Neurospora crassa OR74A: one gene and its partner. Each later gene encodes a partner of the first gene's protein in a complex. Links are inferred from orthologs where the notes say so. Each region holds a gene or a part of one and is shown in the gene's direction. Other genes may lie near its edges.

Region 1 (12,576 bases):
ATGATGTACTTCTCCAGTAAACGCTCTGGATGTTCCATCCGCATACCTACGAAAGAAACAAAATCCAGATGACCTGAGCTTTATAAGCGGCCCAAGTTGAAACGTGACTCTGGAAGCGCCGGAACATGTGCATTCATCGAAACACACTCTTCCTCCGCTGCCCTCCGTCCCGCGTCTCCATTGTTATCCGCTTCTCTCAAAAACCCACGCCGACGGGGCCCGACGCAGGCCGCGGGAAGCCTCCATCGATCACATCACCGTGCGTGTCACAGCAATTACCTGCAGTCGAACAAAATGGCTAGTCGCATAACCTACACATAGTCGGTAACTGATCGCCATAACAGAAGCAATGGGTTCACACTAGTGTGAAGTTAAACCTCGATCCGTTACGGGGAGAAGCGATTTGATAAGATTCCGTCCCGTCGTCCTCGCGGTCTCCTGGAAAGGGGTTTCTCAATCAACCACCGATGTCAATATGCGAAGAAAGGGTAATTTTGTTTTTGGTATTGGTTGTCATCAACTGCTACGTATTAACCTGGCAAAGCATGCAATACGCATCTTCGAAGCTTATGTTGCCAGGAAATGCAAAATAATTTACAATTGAGGTCCGGTTGTGGCGAAGCAAACCATTACGAATGCTGTGGAGTCCTCTCACTGAGAGCTGCGTGTGTTTGAGGCTTCCTACTTCCACCACAACGTGGCCAGATCGACAGTCACGGCCTTGTGTCCAGGTTCATCTAGCATTTTGGCTTTGATCACTCTCTGCCATTGGGATATTAGAAGACTCAATGTTCATCCACATCCCCATCTAAACTGATAACTGACCCCCAACTACAAGCAAGTATCCGATTTTCCTTACGTGGTTCGCCTTCGCTATCTTTTCTCAACGCCTATTTTGGTTTTGCAGAACCCGTATCCACCCATCCCAAACCGAATGCGCCACCTCAAACAGAAAAGCTCTACATACCTCGTTAAAAACCCCGCTCCAACCACATGTTGCATAGTCTGGACTGCTATGACCACATGTTACCCGGATATATCCACCAAATTCAAATGCACCTCTGAAGCCTCGAGGGCTCCTAAAGATAGTCTAGCCGTGTCCCACCACCGTTCTACCAAACGCCAACAAAGACTATAGTACAGACGGAAGTATACACCATAAAATATGCTAAAGGACCTCGGAGAGAAAAGCCCCAAGTATGCAGTTTAAGATTGCAAAGATAACCAGCAATCCCTGAGATACCCCATGTACTTTGGTTTGTTCAGCAAAAGTGCGCTTCTTCGGGCGACATGTCCCCCAGGCCGTCCCATAATTTTCGACTGTTAATGCCCGCTGTATGCAGGCTGAAGGTGGGCTGCGCTCTCGAGGTCGTTGTCGCGAATCCTGGTGTTAAGTATTGCCGATCGGGTGAAGAGTAATGAAGTATGGGGACACGACTTGCCCCATCGAGTACGGCCGATCCGTTGCAACTTACCTTACCATTCTTGAAGCTTAAAGCTTCTCTCAGCGCACATTCATGGTCGGTTCTTCGAACAGGAACAACCAAGAACATCAAGAGCAACTCACAAAATACAAGACTGATCCACAGCGGTTAGAGAGGAAGGGGAGGAGAAGGGGAAAATGGGGCTGGGAAGACTGAACGTAGGGGCAGGGAGATGTTGGGGTGATGCTATATTCGAGGCCAGAGTTTGGCCGATTAGGTCCGACGACGCTTGACATCTATAGTCCTGATTAGCAAGATGTTTTCCCGTGCGGATTCTTCGTTGAACTTACCGGCCTCTTCGGCTTCCTCATCCAGGTCATCAGTCCGACCTCTCTTTGCTGTGAGGGGCGGTTGTTCTTGAGAAGTTGTAGTCTGCTGTGTAAAATCATTGTTGTCCTCCTCTCCATCATCTCCCCATCCGATTTCGTCGTCATCTTGAGCGTTGCTGAACTCATGGATTTGACCTTCTGTTTCGAACGATACATCCTGTTCCTCGTTCTCTTCGTAGTCAATCTCGTCGCCGCTCATGGTATTGGTTGTGCTCGTGCGGTTGGCCGATTCTTCGGTTGTAAACTCCTGAGCACCTTCTTCGGTCTGGTCCTTGGGGTCGGCGGTGTTGACTGTGAGATGCGATGTCTCATGGGTGTACTCGATGTCGATCGCGTTTTCTACCTCAGTATATTCGTCCGCGTTAGGGCCGTCGTCAGTGTACTGCTCCTGCATGGCGGTGGAGTCGGGATTGCGCGAAGTACTATTTTCGTTGTTTCCTTGATAGGGCATGTCAGCAACATTGTAGGTAGAGAAGGTGACGATTAAATCGGAGTCTTTGTGAGAATGAAAACGACTGCCACTGCTTCGGTGGGGTGCAGAGAAGTTGACGGGGCTGTTGGAGTTCTTGATGCAAGGTGAGTCGGAGCGGAAAGGAGATAGCGTTGCAAGACCGCAGTGCTGGTTGGGTCGCAGTTCAACTGCAAGTTGGCTTCCGCCGGATACGTTGTCCGAGGGCTTGCTATGGAGCGGCGGCATTGTCCCATCTGTTTGTTCGGACCTCATTTCTTTTCCCCCGAAAACTAGGTCGGAGAACACGGACTTCCGTTTCAGACCAGGCATGGCATAGTTTGGGCCTTCGTCATCCGTGTAGTCAATGAGATCGTCATCCTTGGCTTCGCCTGTGTGCAAAACGACCATGTGGCCGTGTGTGCTGGGGTTGTGTGTGGGTGAGGAAAAAAGAAAAGGGTATTTACCAGTTCGATTGTCGTCACGGCCGAGCACTGCGTTACCTTCAGTAGACCCCTCCGTGATATCGAGCGAGAAGTTGCCGTCATCCAACGTCTGTCTGAGTGTCAAGTCATCACCAAGCTCCTCCGCACCCACTGTACGATCAATTTCATGATCGTCTTGCTCCTCGGCCTCGGCCTCTTCATGATGCTCGATGTACTCATCCTCATCATAAACCTCCTCCTCTTTCTCCTCGTTGATAATTTCGGTATGATCACCGTTTTCCGGCTGAGGTTCGTCCGTAGCAGACTTCGTTTCAGGAGCAAGCTCCAGATCACTGCTCGTCCCCTCAAGGCTGGGCTGAAATTCTCCCCGATCACCGTCCATCTCATGCTTGACATCAACGATGCCTGCCGGGCCATGAGAGGTTCCACTGGCATCAAAGTGACTTGACCCGTTAATCTCTGCAGATGGCTCTGCTTGGGCAGCTTGATCGATGTTGTCTGCTAGCGAGAATTGCTCAGTATGACACTCATTCGCAAGGACATCCTCGGTGACCTGACGTTCCGTGTGTTCCTCTGATGCTTCCTTCTGGATGTCTCCAGCCGAGACGGTAACATCCCTAACCTCGGCTACATTCACGCTGACTTCGACGTCTTCAGTACCCTCGATATCCTCTGCAACTTCGATATTCTCGGTGAGCTCAATGACCTCTGGCTCTTCGTTATCTTCCTTCTCTTCTTGGTCTTGATCTTGCTGGCCTTCCTCGTCTCGATGCTCTTGGTCATCAAATTCAGCATCCTGGCCATCCTCATGATCACCATCATTTTCGAGGCCTTCGTTGTCATTGTCATCATAATCTTCAATGTCCTGATCGTCATCCAGATATTCATCCTCCCCGGAGGCATCTGAGTAATCGGGAGAGTAGTCTGCTCCGCTCCAGATGCCTGCCTCCTCGAGCAAGTCCAGGAACCGGCCCTCGGGGTCCGGACGGACCAAAAGATTGAGCGTTAGGGATGTCTCTGTGACGATTCCTTTAGCTAGAAGGACATTGTAGCAGTAAATGATCTGATGAAAGCTGCGCTGCAAAAAGTCTTTACTGGACCTTTCGCCAAAGTTCAAATCAAGTGAGTCAATAACGATGACCAGTTCTTCTCCGGGTGTTAACTCCGAGGCAATGACAGAACGGATAGATGCAAGTAATTCCGACAACGGTGCGGTTGCGATCTCAGTATCGGTAAGAAAGTAGGTCTCAGGATCCATGTCCGAGTTCCCAAAGAGGGCATAACTGCCACCATCATACTGGACTGTAATATCTGTGATGCTGAATGCAGCATCATCAACAATGGCCTCGTCATGGTCAATCTGGCTTTCCTCGAGCTGGCGATCCTCGCTCACGGCCTCGCCCGCTTGTTCAGCTCCCGAGACAGCTGTATCCAGAGGGTTGGTAGCTGCAACACCACCGACGTCCAGACCGACATCGGTCTCGGCAACTTGTTCAGTAGCCTCCTGATCAACAGGGTTCTTTGTCTCGGCCTCACGCCCGATCGGCTGCTCTTCCGCATCGTCGCCCAATTTGGACTCAGCAAGATCAATCTGGACGTCCTGGGCTTCCTGTTCCAATTCACGTAGATCTGGATTCTCGTCATTTGCAGACGGCGCTTTTGATATAGTGGTATCTTCGGGCTCGTGTTCAGTAACAGCCTCTTCTGCAACGCCCTCCTCCTCTTCATAACCTATCTCGTCATTGTATGCCATGGAGACATCCTGAGCATCTTGCTCGACGCCGCCTGCCGCCTCTGCTTGCTCATCGTTGGTATTATGCTGAGCCTCGAGGTCATCGACAGCAAATTCAACATCCGCTGTGGCGGGTTGGGCATCAAGATCGATCGCCTGGTACTCATCTTCCTTGTCATGTAGGTCGTCGAGTTCTAAGACAAGCTCGTCGGCTGGCATGCCGGCATCTAGCATCAAGTCATCGTCAAATACCGCCTTCCCCGCCTCGGCACGAACGTCGAAGCTAACTTGCTCCATGATGATTGGCGGTTGGCGGGTCAATCAAAACACGCGCCACAGACGAGTGAGTTGGATCAAGAACGAAAATTTGGAAAATGACGCAAAACTTCCACGAAGTTTCTAAGAAGGTGCGACGTATTGCCGTTGTCAAGAAATTGTACGTCCAGCAAGCGTCATGAAAGAAGCGAAGACGTAGAAAATTGGTGCACTGGTCAAAACCCCAAGCTTGGCGATGGGTTTCGGTGGATGTCTTGGACTGAAAGGCTGTGACTTCTTCTTGGAAGCGAAGCCGTAGGGCATATAGAGACCACGGGTTCTGGAGTTATGGCTGAGAATGGGCAACCCCGCACTCGACAAAGAACGCCCGACAAACAACGGCGCTTCTGGGGCGCAAAATGAAACGGTGAAGGGATGTGAGGCGACACGTGGACTGGCGGAATCCGACAACACGATTTAACCGCTGTTAAGAGTTCTGGGGCGGATGTTCTGGGCAAAAGTGCACATCGAATCGAGGTATGGAATGCTGAAACGCGGCAGGCAGATAATCGGGATGCCTCACTTTCACGGAGCGGCGGAGCTGGGAGGTGGGTGAAGTGCAACGGAGTCGAGTAAGCTCTTGATGACGAGGCGTGTCACAAAGGTAGCGTAGGTATTTGATGATCCGTAATCGAGACTCGTATTGGCTGGGCAATGCTTTGACGCGATTGAGAAACAAGTTTCTCGATGGCGGATGGTTTTTCGAGGTAGGCGATGGTTTGGATGGAAATGGAAATCGTGAAATTTCGACACACGGGGCCGTCTGTTGTGCGTGTTGAAGAAAGAGGTGCAGTTGTTGGTTTTGCCGCAGTGTGTGGACAACGGTGAAATTCGCAGAATTGATCATAGGAAGGAAACTGAACCTAAGCAAGTGCCGCATGGAGTTTAGCGGGCCCTGTGGGTGCCTAGAGGTACCTACCTACTGTACTTGTATCTATGGTGTGCCCCTGGATTTCTTTTGCCAGCTGGCAGCCCCTCGTCGGCCGGCCAGGACGCTGCCACCGTGTACGCAGTAGGTTGCCCTGGCCCGCCTGAACCCGACTGCCCTGACGCTGCAGTGAAGCTGCCGTCCAGGTACCTCTACCTATCGCTGCCCGCTGGGTCCCTCCAGATGGCACCTTCAGTTCAATTGGACCTGACCGACAGCACACCTCAGCACGGCAACGGAAAGACCACATCAACCTTCCCGTCCACGACAACTTTCAGGAGGTGAAGCTCACGACTTACCTCCAACGCATCCCAAAGCTCCCTGCACTACCACGAAGCGCCCTTCGAGTCAGTAGTCGTGGTTGTTGTTTACTGCTGTCAAAATGGTAACTCATCCATCCCTGTCTCCTGGTGGGAAGAAGCGATTGACGGAACATGTCAGGTTGTCCTCGCTGCCTCCATCTGCACCCGCGGCGGCAAGGCCGTCTTAGCCCGCGCCTTCAACGACATCAAGCGCTCCCGCATCGAAGCTCTCCTCGCCTCGTTCCCCAAGGCCGCCGACTCGGGTACTCAGCACACCATTGTCGAGCAAGACAATGTCCGATTCGTCTACCAGCCCCTGGACGAGCTGTACATGGTCCTCATCACCAACAAGCAGTCCAACATCCTTCAGGACATCGACTCGCTCCACCTTTTTGCCCAGGTTGTCACCAGCACCTGCAAGAGCCTTGACGAGCGCGAAATCCTCCGAAATGCCTACGAACTGCTCAGCGCCTTCGATGAGCTGGTGACTCTCGGTTACCGGGAGAACCTCACCATCAGCCAGATCAAGACCTTCCTCGAGATGGAAAGCCACGAGGAGCGCATTCAGGAAATCATTGCCCGCAACAAGGAGCTGGAGGCCACCGAAGAGCGCAAGAGGAAAGCCAAGCAGTTGGAGATGCAGCGCAAGGAGTCGGCCAGAACTGGTCGGTCCGCGGTACCCCGGACGCCGGTATATCCCACATACACCCCGCCGGTGCGACCTGCTGTCACCGAGTCCTATGATACGTACGAAGCCGAGAAGAACAAGGTCAAGTATGTGTTAGTCCCTCTTCTTTTCAGGCTGGCCTGCAAGCTCACATTCTTCTAGGTTCAATGCGCCAAAGGGCAAAGGTATGCAGTTGGGCAAGAAGTCCAAGAATACGGATATTTTCGAGCGCGTGAAGGGGGATCTTGGACACGAGGCCGAGGAAGCGCCCCTTGTTCCGGTAGCCGCGCCGGCAGCTGCCGCAGAGCCTGCTGCTTCCAGAGTCTCTTCGACACTCGACAGGGATGCTATTCACGTCCTTATCAACGAGGCAATCAGTGCCAAGCTGTCGAGAGATGGTGCCCTCGAATCCCTCTCGGTCAGCGGTGACCTCCAGCTTCGCGTCTCCGACCCATCGCTTTCAAGGATCAAGCTCAACCTCAGCGCCACACCCACCCACGGCGCCCAGTTCCGCACTCACCCGAACGTCGATAAGAATGTCTTCAATAGCTCCCAGGCTATCCAGTTGTCTCAAATCACAAAGGGTTTCCCCCTTAACAACTCTGTCGGAGTTCTAAGGTGGCGGGCCAGTCCCAGAGTCGACGACACCAGCGCACTACCAATCAGCTTCACCGTTTGGGTCAACAAGGGCTCGGATGGCAACAGCACATTGACGGTCGAGTACGAGCTCACTGGCGGAGATACCCTCAAGGACGTTACTGTCGTCATCCCCTACACGAGCGCAGAGCCTCAGGTGTCTAGCTTCGACGCTGTGTATGAGGTGTCTGGTGACAGTCTAGAGTGGTCGATAGGCACCGTAAGCGAGGAGAACGCCAGCGGATCATTCGAGTTTGAGGCGCAGACCGATGACGAGAACGAGTTCTTCCCGATGCAAGTACGGTTCTCCAAGTCGTGGCCGTTCGTGGAGGTTGATGTAAGATGTCGCCCCCTCATGTCAGAAAAACGGGTAAAGACGGAACAACTGACACATTCTAGGTTCAATCTGTTGAGCTGGTGGATGAAGGTGAAGAGGTTTCGTTTTCCAAGGACATCAGATCGGTGGCCGACAAGTTCCTCATTGAGTAGGGTTTGTTGTCATTGTTTTGAGCAGAACCAAAAAAGGGCGACCGTAGCATGCCGGCCAGGCGTCTCGATCATCATCTTCCACACCAGAATTAGAGTAATGTATGGGAAGCAACCGAGTTGTCCAACTCCCTTTATAATGAATACTGTTGTACATGGTCCGCGCCAGTGGGTGCTCGAGCTGTCATTCCTTTTCTTCCGTTGATACCCAAGGTCATACTTGACTTTTTGAACAAGAGGTTTTTGACGCTCCCGGGATCCTTGAAAGTAACATGTAAGCTACGAGCCCTACGCATTTTTAAGGGGATGGATACCCTCATGATCCAGTACCATATAGAAAGAAGCCTATCTACGCAAAGAGCTATCCAACTCAATCATCGCTGTTGTAAGCACAGAGTATGGTAATTGATGTCGATGTGTGTAGTTCGCTAGGTAAGCTTGTAAAGGTCATACCTACACAGTACGGATGCCCCTGCACAGTATTTCTATTACTGTGGCAACTGCTCTATCTGCACTGTGTTTTGAATCAACAGGCAGGACGAGACCACACGACTGAATCGCAGAACAGCAGCAACAACAACAACAACATCACGCCGAGGCAAGTGAAGCTGTAGGTCTAGCAAACCAAAACCGAAATCCCCCAAACATACAAACCGACTTGCCAAGTTATGGACTTGCGCGTGTCATTCAAATCAAAATCTTGCGTCCCGGAGTTGAAGGCTGGAACCACTTAGCCGCTGCTTTCCACGTCCAAATAACATCATCCAACTGAAAGTCACCAACGGATCCTACAAAATGTCCCCAAATGGGCAGCTTCAGCTATTCAGTTCAAGCGCCTTGAGTGTGCCAGTCTCAGGCAAGCAAATCGTATGCAATCCCGTGATCGACTTGACAGCCACGGTCGGCGACGGTAACACGATCTATGTCTGGCGTGGCAGCAATCAGTTGGTCTCGAAGCATACAGAACGAAACCAGAAGGTTGATGCAATCAAGTGGAAAGAGGATGGTAAGTGAAGATCTTCCGATGGCTGTTGAGGGAAACCACTGTCTTACAGGGAATTCGCAGGCCAATTCTTAGCTGCCGGCTGGAGTGACGGCGTGGTGAGGTTGATCGGCTTGGAAAGCAACAAAGCCGTGCATCACATCCGCGTGGCAGGTCATGGTGGAAAGCCTTCTAAGATTGAGTTCATCGCCTGGGCCAAAAACGAAACTGGTAGGAAGTCGCGTGCCAGGAAGCATAATGACCTCCCCGACTTGCCGTGGCGGGATCTCATGCTCGATGAGAAGAAGCATGTTCTGGACCTCCCTCATGAGTTGACTTTTCTGGAAATCGAGACTGCTCTCCCCAAAATTAGTCCTCTTCCTTTGTCGGGAGGCATCGGGTATGTGTACAGGACCCATGAGCTTGCAGTGCCGGGAGACAAACCTAAAAAAGTGATGGTGTAACTGACATGGCTATAGGGACGATATGTTTGTTTTCTCTACCGCGGCATCACTCGAGTTCGTGTTCCGCCCTTACCAGCCCGAGGACTCGGACAATGTACATGTCATGATCACCGGCACAGCCGACGGAGGCATTCATCTCAGCATCTACGATTCATTTGTCATTGGAACCTTTCAACATGTACCGCATACGGCCAGAGGACCCGCCTCAAACGAGGGTCCTTTCCAGCTTTGCGGTCATAGTTCCCATCATAAAGTGCCTACTCACGCACTCCTCCTAAGACCCAAGGAGGGTAGTCCGACATCCCTTTTTCTTGTTCCGATGGACCTCACTTTTGTACACAAATCGCCTATCAACCTGTCTTTGTTGGCGTCGAACACGACAACACTTCAGAATCTCCTTCGGTATCTGAAGCAGGCACAGTCACACATGGTTAGTGAGTGGAAATCGACAAGAGAGCTTCCTGGGCGTTTTCTACGTGGTGTTCAAGAGGACCTAGAGAGGAGTCCCAAGGGGCCGGTGACCATAGTCCAGGCATTGTATCACACAGTTGCAACAGGACATGTGTTTCCTCTGGTGAAGGAGTGGCTTGTCGACAGCCTAGCCGAGAGAGTAAGTTGAGTAGGGAGATGTGAAGAGTGCCATAGGACTGACAAGTATTTAGGGACACAAGCGTTGGGATAAAGCAGTTGTAAGCGGCCTGCAAAATCTCAGAAGCCTCGTCCATGAGAACTTCTTGCCTGCGCTCGAGAGGTGCGGCATCGTGCTCAGCCGGCTCCTAGGCCTCGCTCGTTTCCACGGCTCGCGTGAGAACATCGGCTTTAACGCCGCGCAGATCGAGAAGCTGTTGGACATGGTCGCGGCGCTGACCTTGGTCTCGTACAAGATCCTACTGGCGGTCATGGACGAGCTGGACCACTTCACTTGCTTTTCGTCATGGCTTCGAATGGAAATCGATAAACTGGCTTCGTCATTGGCAGCTGCTGAGGAGTTGACCGAGAAAGAGGCGACTATGGACAACGTCAAGGTCTTGACGTATATCCAACGATATTTGATGGGCAGTCCCTTGGCTGTGTATCTTGGTGATGTTACCGCGGAAGAGCGCGAGAAGGACTGGAGAGTTGTTGACAAGAGCGATGGCACATCTCTTCTGGAACTGGTTGATCAGCAGCTGAAGTACCAGGAGCGTGGTGAGCCTTATTACAAGGCGTTACCTCAAGTCGATCAGTTGGTGGACCATCTCACTAGCAAGTCGGCTATTGTATTCAAGGAGATTGCTGAAGCAGAGAAACGAAGCGTGCGCTTCAACGAGGCTGTGGAGATATCTACTGGCGAGAGGATATGGAGGCATGATATTCATCTGTGTTCTCGATCTAGTGCGGTAAGTCATGTTATGCAGTTCACTTCTCCCCGAGCACTTGATTGCTAACGCGAAACTTCAGGCTGAGTCTGGAGTCCTTATATTTGTTGCTACAGTACCGGAAAGTGACAAGAACAAGAGTATGTCTCCCTTTTATGGCATCGTCGAGCATTTAGCTAAGACTGGATGTAGTCTTCATTGTACGAACCGCGATTCCGGTCGCCAACGGCGTTAGCGGCACAGCCTCTAGCAGTGCATGTAGTCTGGTCCTTCCCAACGGGGCCAGCGTGGTTGATATCAAGTTCTGGGACGACGAGTCTTTGCTCGTGCTAAGCCAACTCAAAGGTCAGTCGACTTGGAATTATTAGCAAAGACAAAACCAGACCGGAGAAGATGAAGCTAACTCCCATGTCAGATGAGCAAAGCCCTGCACTGGTGAGGATCGGGTATCAGTCACCCAACCTAACCTACTCAGCATACGAAGTAGGAGAGAGGCCCCAAGCAATCGATATAGGAGGTCCAGAAGTGCCGTATGTTCCACTTTTCTTTGACGCGGTTGGCTTTATGCCCATCCAGATGGAAGTCCAACAAGCGAGCAAAACCAGGGGCGAGCTTCCTGCTAGGGTCTGTTTACTAGGACGCGACAGAACGGCCTACAAGACATATGCCCTTCCCGACCAGTTTGAGGCAGATTCCGGGACTCAAGTATCACCGATGGCGAGGAAGTCATGGCAGCAACAAGGAGAGGAGGAAGATGTGGTGATGGAGAATAGCCAGTAGAACATCGATAGAGCGGAAGGTCGGAAAGTGCGGTAATGCGATTGGGGCATGGCGACTGCGGGAAGCGGGACCCTCAATTACCTGGGGATTGCACTTATGAGTCCCGTTCGTGATGTATGATTAGGAGGAGGCTGTTACAAATGAGGAATTTCATTGTATGAATGGGAGGCATGGATAAGGTCCCGTATTGCTCGGTTATCAAACCGGGTCTGTCTAGTACTTGCGAACAAAGATTCCCAAGTGTTTTCACTTGATCATTTTGGTAGTGCAGTCAGTGCCAATTTGCAAAAGTCTCCAAATTCTCGTTTTCACTTCCGTCGATTCATCCTCGCGAAGAATCTTCGGTCTCGTGTCCGATTTCGCCCACGCATTCCCGTGTGTTGTTGTTAACGATGAGCGGAGCCAGGCTGCCCGACATTGAAATGAGAATCATTCCGTTAGCGTCGGGTGCGCTGCCAGGGCGTGCCTTGTCCACTAAATAGCGGAGTTCCATGGGTTCTGCAAGCCAAGCCACAGGGCTAATGGGGTTTCGTTAGGTTCATTGTTAGGGTAGAGTCCACCGGCCCTGAAAGCCAGCCCAGCCCAGGGCATGGAGGTCGGCGGATCCATACGCGGAACGGAAGAATGCGTGGCAGCCGGTGGGAAGCTTCGATTCAGGGGATCAGCAGATTCCAGTTCACTGCAGCCCAGTCTTCGGGCCGTCACTCACCTAGGTAGTGTAGAGGTACCCCAGTGCGAATTGCCATTTCTTCCAGTCCATCGTACCCGACCCAGCCTGAAACGGCTGCGTGGCCAGCGACCACTCGGTCCCGTCCCGTTTAGTGTACAACGTCATTGCGTTTGCAGCGGTCCAGGCTGTGGTAGTACAGGCGGGCACTACCTAGGTAGTGTAGCGACCTGGAAGTGGAAGTGAACCTACCCAGTCTCCACGACAGCTGAATGACGGTGTGCTAAAAGTATTGCTGAGGAGGACGAGCTGATACTGCCCAGATCCCGCCTTGTCTCCTTTTACATTGACGTCCATCCCGTCACCACCACCAACTTTCTTCCAACAAGAACTCCACCACAACCAACTAACTGCACCACCCTTTGCGCCAACTGTAACGACTGGCTTTTTAGCAAACCTACTAATCGATAATGAGAGGAGAAGCCGAATAGATCACAAGATATCAAACGGGATTTTTATGGATGGTGCTACCGAGAGTAGTTTTCTAATACG
Region 2 (12,492 bases), on another chromosome or scaffold:
AATCGAAAACTATACTAATATTAAGGCGGTCGATTAAAGTACGGATAATACGTAGGGAGTTAGAAGATTCCCTAAATTTATAAAAATTAGCGTATTATTATATATAAACCTTGGATTCTCTAATTAATATAGTTATATAACCGAATTAAAAAATAGAGAAGGGAAGGGTCCGGTAGAGTTAAAAGAGATTAGAGAATTTAATACGGAAGTTGTACTATTAGTAGATTATATAAAATTTATTTATAATTATAAATACTATACGGGCGGCGAATTCCGAATTGCGAAGGATTTTAAGGAATTAATAGTAAAGAGCCTACTTAGGCCCGAGGAGGATATACGTAAAATATTTAGTATATATATAGTCCTATATTATATAAGTTTAAGTATATTAATTAAATACTTTATATTTAGAATAGTAATTACTAAATATACTTTATAAAAGTCTTAATTAATAAGTAAAAGCTTAGCATTAGGGTACTTTATAATAACGTCCCTCTATTCCTAATTAAGACGGTTTAAGGGAATAATTTGTAAAATAATTTTATTTAGTAAAATTATTAATATTATTTGAAGTATAATACTCTTATTAAAATTAATTACTACTATAAAAATAGTATTACTAGAACGGTATATAATACGACGGATATATTTAACCTATTCTAAACGAGGTTTATGGCGGTTAGAATTTATAATTAATTGAAAGATTGGATTAAGTAGAAGTTGGACGATAGTATATATAAAACGAATTTAAAATCTAAAATATTTTATTAGGTATATATATTTAACAATAATAGCGATATATTCGTACGATGTTAATCCGGGAGAGGGCGAAATAGCGAAGTTGGAATAAGTTTTAAAGTATTGAATAAACCCTAAAATTTCGTTGAAGGTAGAATTAAACTAGGCTATATTTAATATTAAATTTTAGATTAATATAATAAAGAATAAATAAAATATAATACTTATTTCTTAGGATGGTAATTATAGCGTTTAACGAAGGAACGCCTTAGACTTTGTTTAATAATGAATATTAATTATAGTAAAAAAAAAAAAGTTGCGAAATTAAAGGTAGGATTGATATTAAACTCAATAATTAAATTAGGTTTAGGTATTGGTTGTAGTTATAGAGATATCTGCGAGTGATATGCTTGAGTAGAGTTTTGTTTGTATGGGAATAATAGCGTTTGACGGCCAAAATGCTCAAAATTGACACAGACCTCCTCTCACAAAGTTCGAGGAGACCCACATTTTATGTGGGGCGGGGGAACGGAGGCAGATGGGGTCTGTTCAGAGACTACCCCGCCCTATCCACGCGTTTTGGAACGCCCAGTTAACGTAACATTTATACACTCATTAGTTTCCCCGATACATAGGCGGTGAACCGTTAAGTTCCTTTCCATTTCTTCTCATCTCCTATTTGCCTGCATAGTAGTTTAGGGGTCCTGGCTTTTGCAAGCGTATGCCTAAAGACAGCCTGGGGATGACTTGAAGCCTCCGCACCCAAGCAGCCATACACTACAACGCATGAATAAACCCTGGACAAGTAGACCTGTGCGAGCAAGGGGAAATACCAGCATAACCCGACACCTTGGGTTGGTACTGTGTGTAGTATGTCTTGTCGGTATTTGGCCAAAACCACCCCCCTTTTTTGCCTGTTCACGGAGACCCCTCGGCCCCCTCTAGCAGTATGTGGAGGATCGTGATGATGTTTTTTGGGGCACGGCTCCAACCCGTTTTTGACGGTGGAGCACGAAGCATCCGCTAGGAACCTGGAAGCGTCTAGAAAGCGGATGCCCACATCCACGTCATTCCGCAACCAAATGGGAGCCACTTTCGACGCCGAAGCGTGTCATAATCCGGGCGAGCCACAAAAGGACGTTTCAAACCTCACCGTCGTCAGAATCCAAGTGTGGACTGGATCACAGATATCGCCCTTACTCCTATCTCAAGGAGCCAATGAGGAAGCATGCGCAAACGTTCTTTGTGCGGCTGAGTGTCTCCCGTCTGTCTCGCCGAACGACAGCTGCTTCGATCCCTGAAAGGCAAGAAGCTTAGGTGGAGTTGAAAGTTGATAGGACTCCAGTGGAAATCGACACAGTGTCGCACACGGTAGGACGGGACGAGAGTACTTATTCACGCTCCATAAGTATGCATCACCGCCAGCAACCAACTTGACAATGCGAAAGAGCTGAGTAATCATCGAATTTTGCTCACATTCTGACCATGGCTTTTGAAGAAAGTGAAAAGATACAGTACGTTTTGCAGCCGACCGGGAACTGTAGCCCGATATGTCACTACGATATAGTCGACCTCTGTTACCGTTCGTGGAGTCAGTGTCACTTGCTTCTTTTGTTTTGAAAACAAGAGTAAGGCCATCTCATAGCCTCGCCCGGGTGGAGTATATGTCAGTTCCTTTCTGTATCGATAGTATAGACATACATTTCGATCTGGAGCGATAGTCGGTTGCGTTCCCAAACGCTCACCTGATTCCATCTTCAACGTACGATCGAGATTGAATCACTTCGTTCTTCTACAGAACTTGAAAGGACATATGTAAAGATCGTAGGTGAGCAAGGCTATTGGTGAATGGCGCAGGTCACTTAAGATGGAAAGCCATCTTCTCTTTCCTTAGCAGCGATCCACCGCAGACAGCGTTGTTATTGTAACATGCCCAATATCAGAAACGTGTGAAGGGAAAGAACGAGCAGTTGCTCAGCTATAAAAGAAAGCAGCAATAGGTAGTTCCACAACTCACTTGTTCGTTCTTTCACTTCTTTGACAATTGAGAGCCTTCGCAACAACCCGGTAGCCTTCCCCGGAAAGATCGACTCGGAACGCGCTCGAAGACTCCGAATCTGTCGGGCCAAGACACAACTTGAAAATCTCCGTGGAAGACACGACGTTGTACCTGTCTTTCTGACTAGAATACCTAGCGAGGTAAGTTCAAGTCGATAGACTATCACCAACCTTACAACCGCTCCCATGATGCACATCGATGCTGGCCTCATCGCATTGACTGCGCCGCACTGTGCTTCCCTGTTGCTTGAGCTTCTCCACGCTCCTTTCCCCTTCGGTGGATCCCAAATGGCAGGACAAGCGGACAGACCTTGGCGTTTGCGACGATGATGGCGTATCCCTGAGCCGTTGCCACTTGCGAATGTTCAGTGGTTGATGTCCGCGCCTCCCCTCATTTCAGCGGGCAGCGCTTGACGCTCGCTTGCTAAGGTGCGGTTCAGGCGGTTGCAACTGTGTCCGATTCGGCCCTCTGTTCAGTGAAGGTGCGTTCGGAGGGGTCGTATATAAGAGGTACCGAGGGGTGGTATAAAACACAGGCCCGAGCGGACGGACTGAGCCTGGAGGCCCAAAGTTTGGCTTCCAAGTTGTTGAAAGACCCGGACCCCCGCCTGGGGGCACTGCGCTGGGCGGGCTGCTTGCACCTGCCCACACGGCACTGGCCAGGCTGGGTGGTAGGTACATGCTGCCTACCCCAGTTGGCACTCGTCCGTTGTCCACCTCGGCGATTGGGAAGCGTAAGAGTGACAACTGGAAGCTGGAACTCGCCTTGCCTCCAGGTGGAGGGTAGGTACTATGGGGACGTACCGGATGTACCCTGGGCCAAAGCCGCCACGCCTGCCTTTCGTTTAATTCCCCGAACGGTAGCAAAAAATATTTGAAATTTGGAGCGCGCCGACTCACCAACACCTGATCCTTTCCTTTTTCTTCCTCTCTTCTTCCCGTCAACCATTCAAGCAATCTGAAGTCCGCTCAAACCACCTTCAACCAACCCCCCCCTCAAGCTATCTAGGGCACCAAGCTACCCTTCTGACTCCCCCTCAGACCCAGAGTTCAACCTTTCTCGTCCGTGAACGTCCTTACAACACCCCAGGCGCTCATCTCCCTATCCAAACGAGTCCAACGCTCACGTCACCTCCTGTGGATCACCTACTCCAACCAAGTCAACTTTCGACATCACAATCAATCACCATGTCTGCTGTCGTGGAGAAAATCACTGACGCTGCTGCCGCCGCCGTCAACGACGTTACCAACGCTCTGGCCAACACCTCTCTGACTGGCAACAAGTCCGCTGACGAGAAGCCCGCCGCCAACGATGCTGTCCTTGCCAGCGCTGCCGAAGGTCGCCGCCTCTACATCGGCAACCTTGCCTATGCGACAACGGAGGGGGAGTTGAAAGAATTCTTCAAGGGCTACCTTGTGTAAGTTTGGCTCGTCCCGCCTACCCTTTTTCCCTTTGTCGTTGTCTGCCCTTGTCCTCTCACCGCCTTTGCATTGTTTCCCTGCATCCCGCTTCCCCGCCTTGTTTGGATTGTATTTACGCGGCTGGAAGCAGTTGCCCGCCACAAACCTCACATTCCCCTTCCCGTTTCCATCATGTTGCCTTGTTTAGGCCCTTTGGCCCTTTGACGTCACGTCATCCACCTCGCTCCTCTGGCTGTGAGAGTGGGCCGCTTGCAGGGCCGTAGGGTGGGGTTGACATCCGGGTTTCTTGGTCCCGTGTTACGTGTGCTCGTCCGTTACTAACCAGTTTCGTTGCGCGCAGTGAGTCTGTTTCCATTCCCAAGAACCCTCGCACCGACCGCCCTGTCGGCTACGCCTTCGTCGACCTCTCTACCCCTAGCGAGGCTGAGCGTGCCATCGCTGAGCTCTCCGGCAAGGAGATCCTCGAGCGCAAGGTCTCCGTCCAGCTCGCTCGCAAGCCCGAGTCTAACGAGAAGGCCGAGGGTGCCAACGGTGAGGGCCATGAGGGCACTCGCCGCCGCCAGTCCACTCGTGGCCGCGGTCGCGCCGGTCGTGGCCGTGGCGGACGCGCTCGTGGCGATCGTGTAAGTTCCATTACATCATCTGTGAAGTGGACAGAGAAACTGACATCCCGACCTAGGGCGAGAAGAAGGAGGAGGGTGCCGAGGGCTCCACTTCCCCTGCTACCGAGGCTCTGAAGGACATCACCAACGAGACTCACAACAGCGACAACAAGGCCGGCAAGCCCCACAACCGCTCTCCCCGTGAGCGCCGCGAGCGCGGCCCCCCGGCTGACGGTATTCCTTCCAAGACCAAGGTCATGGTCGCCAACCTTCCCTACGACCTGACCGAGGAGAAGGTGAGTTTTTGTGCCGACCTATGCCATGACTGGAGACATGCTAACTCTTTCCACAGCTTAAGGAACTTTTCGCTGCTTACCAGCCTTCCTCCGCGAAGATTGCTCTTCGCCCCATCCCTCGCTTCATGATTAAGAAGCTTCAGGCCCGGGGTGAGCCCCGCAAGGGCCGTGGCTTCGGCTTCGTTACCCTCGCCTCGGAGGAGCTCCAGCAGAAGGCTGTCGCTGAGATGAACGGCAAGGAGATCGAGGGCCGCGAGATCGCTGTCAAGGTCGCCATCGATAGCCCCGACAAGACCGACGAGGAGGCCAACGAACCCGAGGGCGAGGCCCAGGCCCCCACCAACGGCACTACCGAGCAGGCTGGCGCTGCTGTCACTGCCTCTGCTTAAACACTCCATTTGATGACGAGATGAGTGTGCGCACAAGTTAATAAAGATTTCGGTCACAGACACTACTTTAATCTCGACCGACACATGTCTTATGTTTTACTGGGCGCATGCATTTTTACCCTCACGATTTTGGCACGGAACGAATGATTTTCTTTTTATGGCGGGATCTGCAAGTGGGTATGAAAGCGGGAAGATTGGGCGGTGGGATAATGTGATCATGTCTGGCGTCACGGGTTATGGGGGTTTGCAAAGGCCTCAAATCGCTGGTAGACTTCAGGCATCGTTATCCTGCGGCTCTTTGCAGGCAACAAAAATCTAATATTTTTCATGACTTGTCTTCTTCATTTATGTGTTATGGATCATCTTTTATCTCAGGGTCGCTTACATTCATCTAGTGTTTTCAAACTCTCATGTTTGCAGGAGATGGTCAGTCAAATCGGTCTAGGAATAGGAAAATAAGCATGATCGGGCCAAGAAGTCATTGATATGTCATGTTTAATTAATAGGAACGCCAACGGGTAAAGTGGTTTGTGATAGATACGTGTCCAGTCATCCTCAACATGGGAATCACCTAATTGTGAGGCGTAGAAGTAGTGTTGGAGGGAACTAATGGATCCACTGCCCGTGCCTTGCGTGCCTTGATGGGTGGTTGTGACAAAGTTGGGGACGGACAGTTGCAGATGTTCCTGCAGGCCAGAGAGGGGCAGCTCCCCGTTAACAAGCGGTCCCCTGAAACGCCCCTGATCTTTATTCGCAGTGCGTGACGAATGATGAGAAAAGGCCAGGTCTGGACCTTTGCATAAAACATGGTACCTACCTAGGTAGATATGAATGGTCGACATAACGGAAGGTAGGATCCTGAAGGTTGGATGGACGGACGAGCTGGCTTGTGTACACGCACCATGCACTGTGGCCTCGATGAATACTCTTATGGCTTGTGAATTTCAATTCGGTTAGGTTGTTGCTTGAATCACGTAACTGATCATATCTTAGCAAATCTAAAATGCAGTCCCAAACTCAAGTTGTAGTAATTCGTCGGGTAGATGGAACGTGACCTAATGATCAGCATGCCTCGATCTTCCAACACTTCGGGTCGGGTTTCCGTCCTGGCTGGTCGCTCCAGTGCCACTAAAACGAAGGAAGGTAGCCGTCCGAGGTAAACCAACTGCTGAAGCGTAGGGCAGGGGGTGCCTGCAATAGCGCGGGCGACTTCATCATTCAAGTCGCCAATTGTCTGTCTGACTGATTGTCCACCAGACAACCCCTACTGTAATCCGAAACATCACGCGACGCAACATAGCGCAAGGAATCCAAAGACGGCGAACTTCTTCTTCCAATTTGCTTCGACGAGACTCTGCTCTCAAGTAGGCCGTCCCAGCGAGGAATCACGTAACCGGTCGGTTCGCGCACAATTGCACGTACAAGTTGCCCACCATGGCTACCAAAGGGATGTGGGAGATAGACCCGGAGACGAAGTCCAAGGTATGTGACCGACCAACCCGCCCAAGGCGTCCAACCCGTTCAATCGCTGTCTTTGTGAGATTAGCTGCACGATCCAGAGGGGGAAAAGCGATGTGGCGGCGCAAAGGGCCAACTGGAACCTTCCAAGCTGACTTGTGACCCTTGTAGCTCGCTGCGATGCAGAAGGAGAACAACAACAACATCTGCTGCGACTGCGGTGCCCCAAGCCCGCAATGGTGTTCACCAAAGTTCGGCATCTTTATCTGCCTCTCGTGTGCGGGCGTTCATCGCGGCCTGGGCGTGCACATCTCCTTCGTGCGCTCGGTTTCCATGGACGCCTTCAAGCAGGCCGAAATTGAGCGCATGCGGCTCGGCGGCAATGACACCTGGCGCACCTTTTTCGAGAACCATTCCGACACCAAGTTGCGCGGAATCAGCTGGGACGATGCGACGATTGCGGAGCGGTACAGCGGCGATGTTGGCGAAGAATACAAGGAGAGGCTGAGTGCCAAGGTTGAGGGGAGGGAGTACGTGCCTGGGGAGAAGAAGCCACTGGCCCAGCAGCAGGAAACAAGTCAGAGTCCAAGCAGCGTGGCTGGTGGGGTGCCATTGAGCGGCACGAGCAGTAGGACGGCCAGCCCTAAGCCGGGAACGACGATCAAGGTGGACGACAAGTACTTTGCTAAACTGGGTGCTGCCAACGCCAGCAGACCGGACAATCTGCCGCCTAGCCAGGGAGGAAAGTATCAGGGCTTTGGGAACACAGTGTCGTCGCAGCCAAAGAATGATGGCGGCGCAAGCTTGCCGGGTCTCGATGAGTTGCAAAAGGATCCCGTGGCGGCGCTGAGTAAAGGGTTCGGATGGTTTACCAAGACAGTGACCCAGACGGCGAAGACGGTTAATGAGGGTTATATCCAGCCTACAGCTAAGCAGGTATGTATCCTTGGTCTCCGCTCAACAAACCATCCCTCTGTCGGACATTGGCCCAGGACACATCTACTTGGATCACTTCGAGATACATGTTTGCTAATTTGGACTTCTTCCGCCCAATATAGATAGCCGAATCAGAGCTCGCTGCAAAAGCCCGTGTTGCGGCAGCGCAAGCCGCCGTTTCAGCACAGACTGTAGCACAGGCTGGCGCCAAAACCGCGACAGAGAGTTTCAACCGGTTTGTCGAGGGAGGACCTTCCAACTCCGCTGGTGGTGGCTATAGGTCAGTTCCCTCTGGCGGTGGTGGCAGCAACTTTGACGAGAGCAAGAGGTCGTTTTGGGATGACTTCTCTAGCGCGGCCGACCAGAGAAAGCCAGCCGGTAGCTCAATCGGGACAGCAGTTATGGGCAAGGGTGGAAGCAGCGGTAGCTCCACTGCTCCTCCCCCAGCAGCTTCCAAGAAGGACGAGTGGGATGACTGGTAGATGGCTTGTTGACCCGTAGCGTCATTGGATGAATAGTGAGGTGGAATAGTGGTAATGGAATCATTTACAGCCTATGATTTTTGTCTTTTACTGTATTGTCATTTGGGCTGATCAAGGAGGTCAACGGTGTTGTGTTCAAGGTGAGACCGACTTGGGGTGTTGAGATGCAATGGTCAGGGTCAGGGTAGGGTAGGTAAACTAATCGATATTTTCGAATCGACTCCGGCGTCGGAGGATCCAGTGTACGGCGAGGTCCCGTCGCTGAGACCAGAGAGGTGTCTACAGAAATTGGTGAGGTCAAGTGATGGCTCATTGCTCTAAGCAGTATTAGACTTGATAACGATTTCTTATTTTCGTCGAGTCACTGAACCAAGAATAAGACCAAGTGCATTGGCAGTAAGCTGACAAGGTTATCATTCACATGTTGACATCGTCCTTTTGGAATGATCAAAAGAGTGACAATGCCGGGGTTGGGGTTAGGGTTAGTGTATGACCGCGGTTGGGTCGGTTCCAGCCGGCGGGACCAGCTGCATGGACACGGCCCGCGGTTCGTCATCATGGGTGTGCGTGCCGTCGGCTTTGACGTCCCCATTCTCACGTACCCCGTTCCCCATTCCTCCTACTGATGTGATTGCGACCAGAGCTCAAGCCATTGAGTCCACCCGCTCTCATCCCACCCTTTTTCCCCAGATACCACAAAACAATGTCAGCCCTACGGATATTGGTGCCCGTCAAGCGGGTTATTGACTATGCGGTATGTCTTCCATCCTTTTTGACCACCTAGTCAAGGGCAACAACATAACGGGTGTTCACGCACCATACAACAGTTCTGATATGGAGTCCCTGCTGCACATTTACATGGTATGCTGTTATTATACCTACCCGAGTACAGATGACTGATGTGGATACTCTTCCCAATCAATACAGGTCAAGCCGCGAGTCAACAAGGCCCAGACGGGAGTCGAGACGGCCGGTGTCAAGCACAGCATGAACCCCTTCGACGAGCTATCGGTCGAAGAGAGCGTGCGCATCCGCGAGGGGAAGAAGACCCCCGTCGAGGACATTTGCGTCATCAGCGCCGGGCCAACCAAGGCCCAGGACGTCCTGCGCACCGCCATGGCCATGGGCGCCGACCGGGCCATCCACGTCGAGACCAAGGAGGGCGAGGACCTCGAGCCGCTGGGCGTCGCCAAGCTGCTCAAGGCCGCCACCGAACAGAACAAGAGCAACCTCGTGATCCTGGGCAAGCAGAGCATCGACGACGACGCCGGCCAGACGGGCCAAATGCTGGCCGGTCTGCTGGGCTGGGCGCAGGCCACCCAGGCGAGCAAGATCGAGTTCACCGGCGGCGATTCTGTGCAGGTGACGAGGGAGGTGGATGGCGGTGTTGAGACGCTCAAGGCCAAGCTGCCCATGGTCATCACGACCGACTTGCGCCTCAACGAGCCCCGGTACGCGAGCTTGCCCAACATTATGAAGGCCAAGAAGAAGCCGCTCGAGAAGAAGACGCTGGCGGATTACGGTATTACGGCCGAGAAGAGGCTCAAAACTATCAAGGTCACCGGTAAGGACTACAATTCGTTTTGGGCTGGATGGAAGTTTGCTAACTCTGTTGTTCAGAGCCTCCCCCGAGACAGGGTGGTGGCAAAGTGGAGGATGTGGATGGCTTGGTCTCGAAGCTCAAGGAGCTTGGTGCTCTTTAAACCGGTCATACACCAACCAGTTACTGAGTTCCAGGATCTTGTGTCGAAGACATCTGTTTTGGCATAGAAAAATTGAAATTCACGTCCCTACAGCTGTGTTGCGGATACGCAACCGGACATGCTCTTCTGATAGCCGGTAAGGGCGTCACAATGTCTCATGGGGACCGTGACGGCCCGGGGCCTGGAGCTTCAGTTTATTCATGCATGCTTCTACGACAAGCTGGCCGGTTGAGATGAAAGAGGCTTGAGCCGGCCACATTGGCACCAACTTCGTCGCAAGATGTGTCGCGTTAAGCGCAACAGTACGAAGAGCTATGTTTTGTGTCTTGTCCTGTCTTGCGGTTTTCAATGATGAAAACCTCGCCAGGTGTCCTGGTGGTCTCTGCTTTGATATTGCGTACTCGGTCGAGTAAGCTGAATCCGTCTGAAATGGTAATGCCCAACATCCAGATGCTACGCGATGTATCAAATGCAATGTGACGTGTGGGAGCCTGTTATCCCCCACGTATTGGTGCTCGGCTGCTGTAAGGTACCACTACCGCAAAAATGCTACTTACGTGGCTTGACAAGGTGGTGACGATGTCTCTCTTCAATTGGTGTGCTGTCGCCGAGAGTATATGCTGGATCCAGACGCTATATTTGATTGTTCCCTCTTCTGTCAGCGTGCGGCCTCCGTTGTCCGTGCAGCCGATTACGACGGCCGGCTCTGGCGCAACCTGGGTTTGGAGCTTCAGAAGCTTGAAAGCGAGGCGAATCGCGACTGTACAAGTCCCCGCAACTTGAGTCACCGAAAGCGCGGGGTATCCACCATCTTTATCTGCGGCGGTAGGTAGGCGGGGACTTTGCGGGGGCTTTGCGGGACCCGACCACTCCAACTCCGAGATTCGTTGGGGGTGCCCCGGGCAGGAGATGCCGAGCTGGAGTCGCGTTGTTTGTGAATGTCGTGGCTGGGGTTGTGGGCATAGGTTGCGATGTGTAGTGTACGTAGTACATAGTAGGTATGTTGAACACCGGATGGGTGATTCCAGTTGTGAGGCTCCGGGACTAGTAGGGGTGGTAACCGTGATGGTCAAAGGGCATGTGGAACTTGCAGCGTCCCAACGAAGTCCAGGTCCCCAGTCATCCCAACGCCGCGATCAATCACCCCTCGGTCCCCGTAAATCGGCCTTTGGGACTCGCTAGCAGCGGGAGTCACCGAGTCCTGGACCAATCAGGTCGGCGCTGACCCTGTCACTGCGGCAGAAAAAAGACAAAGAGCTCAAAAAATTCTACCAGATCCAATCAAATGTCGCCCTTTTTCTATTTGCCTCACCCACTTTCGCACCCTCTTTTATCTCCAAGTTTCTCCCCTCGACACTACAACTCACTCCGTCATCAACTCTTGCCCATCTACAAAACACACAATAACCCCAATCGCTTCCCCCGACTTTCGGACTCTTTCGTCCAACCTTCTTTCTTCAGCTGAACTTGTCTTGTCGCAATCTGCCCTTATGAACGGGCGCCCGTCAGTCTTCACCTCTCAGGTACGATAACGCGATAGCCCCTCCATCGTGCTGGTATCCAGCCACCATCCACCCAGTCCATCAAAGAAGTTCCCCCGGATGAGCAATGAAGCCCCCATACCAGCCTGACTCGCGATGCTGTATCGGAGTAGTTGGGACGACCCGCCAGTAACCCACCAACCTGGGTGCTTGGCATCATGCCGCTCTGAGTTGGTTTTGGGAGATGTGGCCAGCGGTGATCCCCAAAGTTCAGCTCTTCACGGATTCCGATTGCATATCTCTCAAGATCGCGCAGACAGCCATCCTGGGGGAGACTTCTTCTCCTCGCTTCTGCCGCTTGCCGTCTGTTTGTAGTGTCTGATCAAAACTAATTCTGTTGCCTTTGTAGGATTACCTCTCAGGTCCGCATCCCCGCCGACTCCCGTTGACTCACCCTTTTCCGGCTGGAATACTGACGATGAATTTTGTGTGTTACAGACCATCTGTGGAGAGCCCTTAACGCATAAGAGCCTCTCATCACCCAGCAGCCGTACCAATCACCACCGCACCCCATCACCATTCAAGTCAAGATGTTCTCTCGCTTGGCCGCTCGTCTCCCCAAGGCTTCTGCCCTCAATGGCGTCGCCGCCCGTCAGGTTCGCAACCTGAGCCAGCCCGCCATTACCGGCAGCAAGGGCAGGAACATGCCCGCCCGTGAGCCGCGCACTACTGCCGCTGCCACCGGCGCCGAGGCCACCTTCACTATCAGGGTGCGTACCTACAACTAGTCTTCTCTCGTGGCTAAACCTAACATTTTCTCGCTCAGGATGGCCCCGTTTTCCAGGGTACCGCCTTCGGTGCCAACACCAACATTTCTGGTGAAGCCGTTTTCACCACCTCCCTTGTTGGTTACCCCGAGTCGATGAC

Evidence for each region.
Region 2: the proteins of NCU00493 (region 1) and NCU07734 are in contact, whole or in part, in a crystal structure (PDB 5FJX), measured with the Saccharomyces cerevisiae proteins. The link is inferred for Neurospora crassa OR74A from reciprocal best matches to the Saccharomyces cerevisiae genes RET2 and GCS1. Residues at the interface, in NP_116709.3 of Saccharomyces cerevisiae: Lys348, Thr349, His350, Pro351, Asn352, Leu366, Lys371, Ala372, Phe373, Pro374, Ser379, Leu380, Gly381, Val382, Leu383, Arg384; in NP_010055.1 of Saccharomyces cerevisiae: Lys348, Trp349, Asp350, Phe352.

What each region holds. Positions count from the first base shown.
Region 1 is NC_026503.1:4,042,940-4,055,515, forward strand, and holds NCU00493 (coatomer subunit delta), read left to right. Parts: upstream 1-5,784; 5' UTR 5,785-6,064; coding exon 6,065-6,067; intron 6,068-6,123; coding exon 6,124-6,758; intron 6,759-6,813; coding exon 6,814-7,624; intron 7,625-7,686; coding exon 7,687-7,776; 3' UTR 7,777-8,136; downstream 8,137-12,576. Other genes in the region: NCU00492 (hypothetical protein), read right to left, coding at 1,698-1,720, 1,775-2,251, 2,729-4,736; NCU00494 (hypothetical protein), read left to right, coding at 8,569-8,779, 8,840-9,155, 9,235-9,829, 9,882-10,598, 10,660-10,717, 10,770-10,922, 10,993-11,357. UniProt on the Saccharomyces cerevisiae protein: The coatomer is a cytosolic protein complex that binds to dilysine motifs and reversibly associates with Golgi non-clathrin-coated vesicles, which further mediate biosynthetic protein transport from the ER, via the Golgi up to the trans Golgi network.
Region 2 is NC_026504.1:2,049,742-2,062,233, forward strand, and holds NCU07734 (zinc finger protein gcs1), read left to right. Parts: upstream 1-6,553; 5' UTR 6,554-6,939; coding exon 6,940-6,987; intron 6,988-7,134; coding exon 7,135-7,899; intron 7,900-8,021; coding exon 8,022-8,381; 3' UTR 8,382-8,779; downstream 8,780-12,492. Other genes in the region: NCU07735 (Grp1p), read left to right, coding at 3,985-4,214, 4,559-4,841, 4,898-5,116, 5,173-5,505; NCU07733 (electron transfer flavoprotein beta-subunit), read left to right, coding at 9,085-9,135, 9,309-9,945, 10,002-10,084; arg-2 (carbamoyl-phosphate synthase small subunit), read left to right, coding at 12,156-12,335, 12,392-12,492. UniProt on the Saccharomyces cerevisiae protein: GTPase-activating protein (GAP) for ARF1 and ARF2. Involved in intracellular vesicular transport. Required for transport from the trans-Golgi network.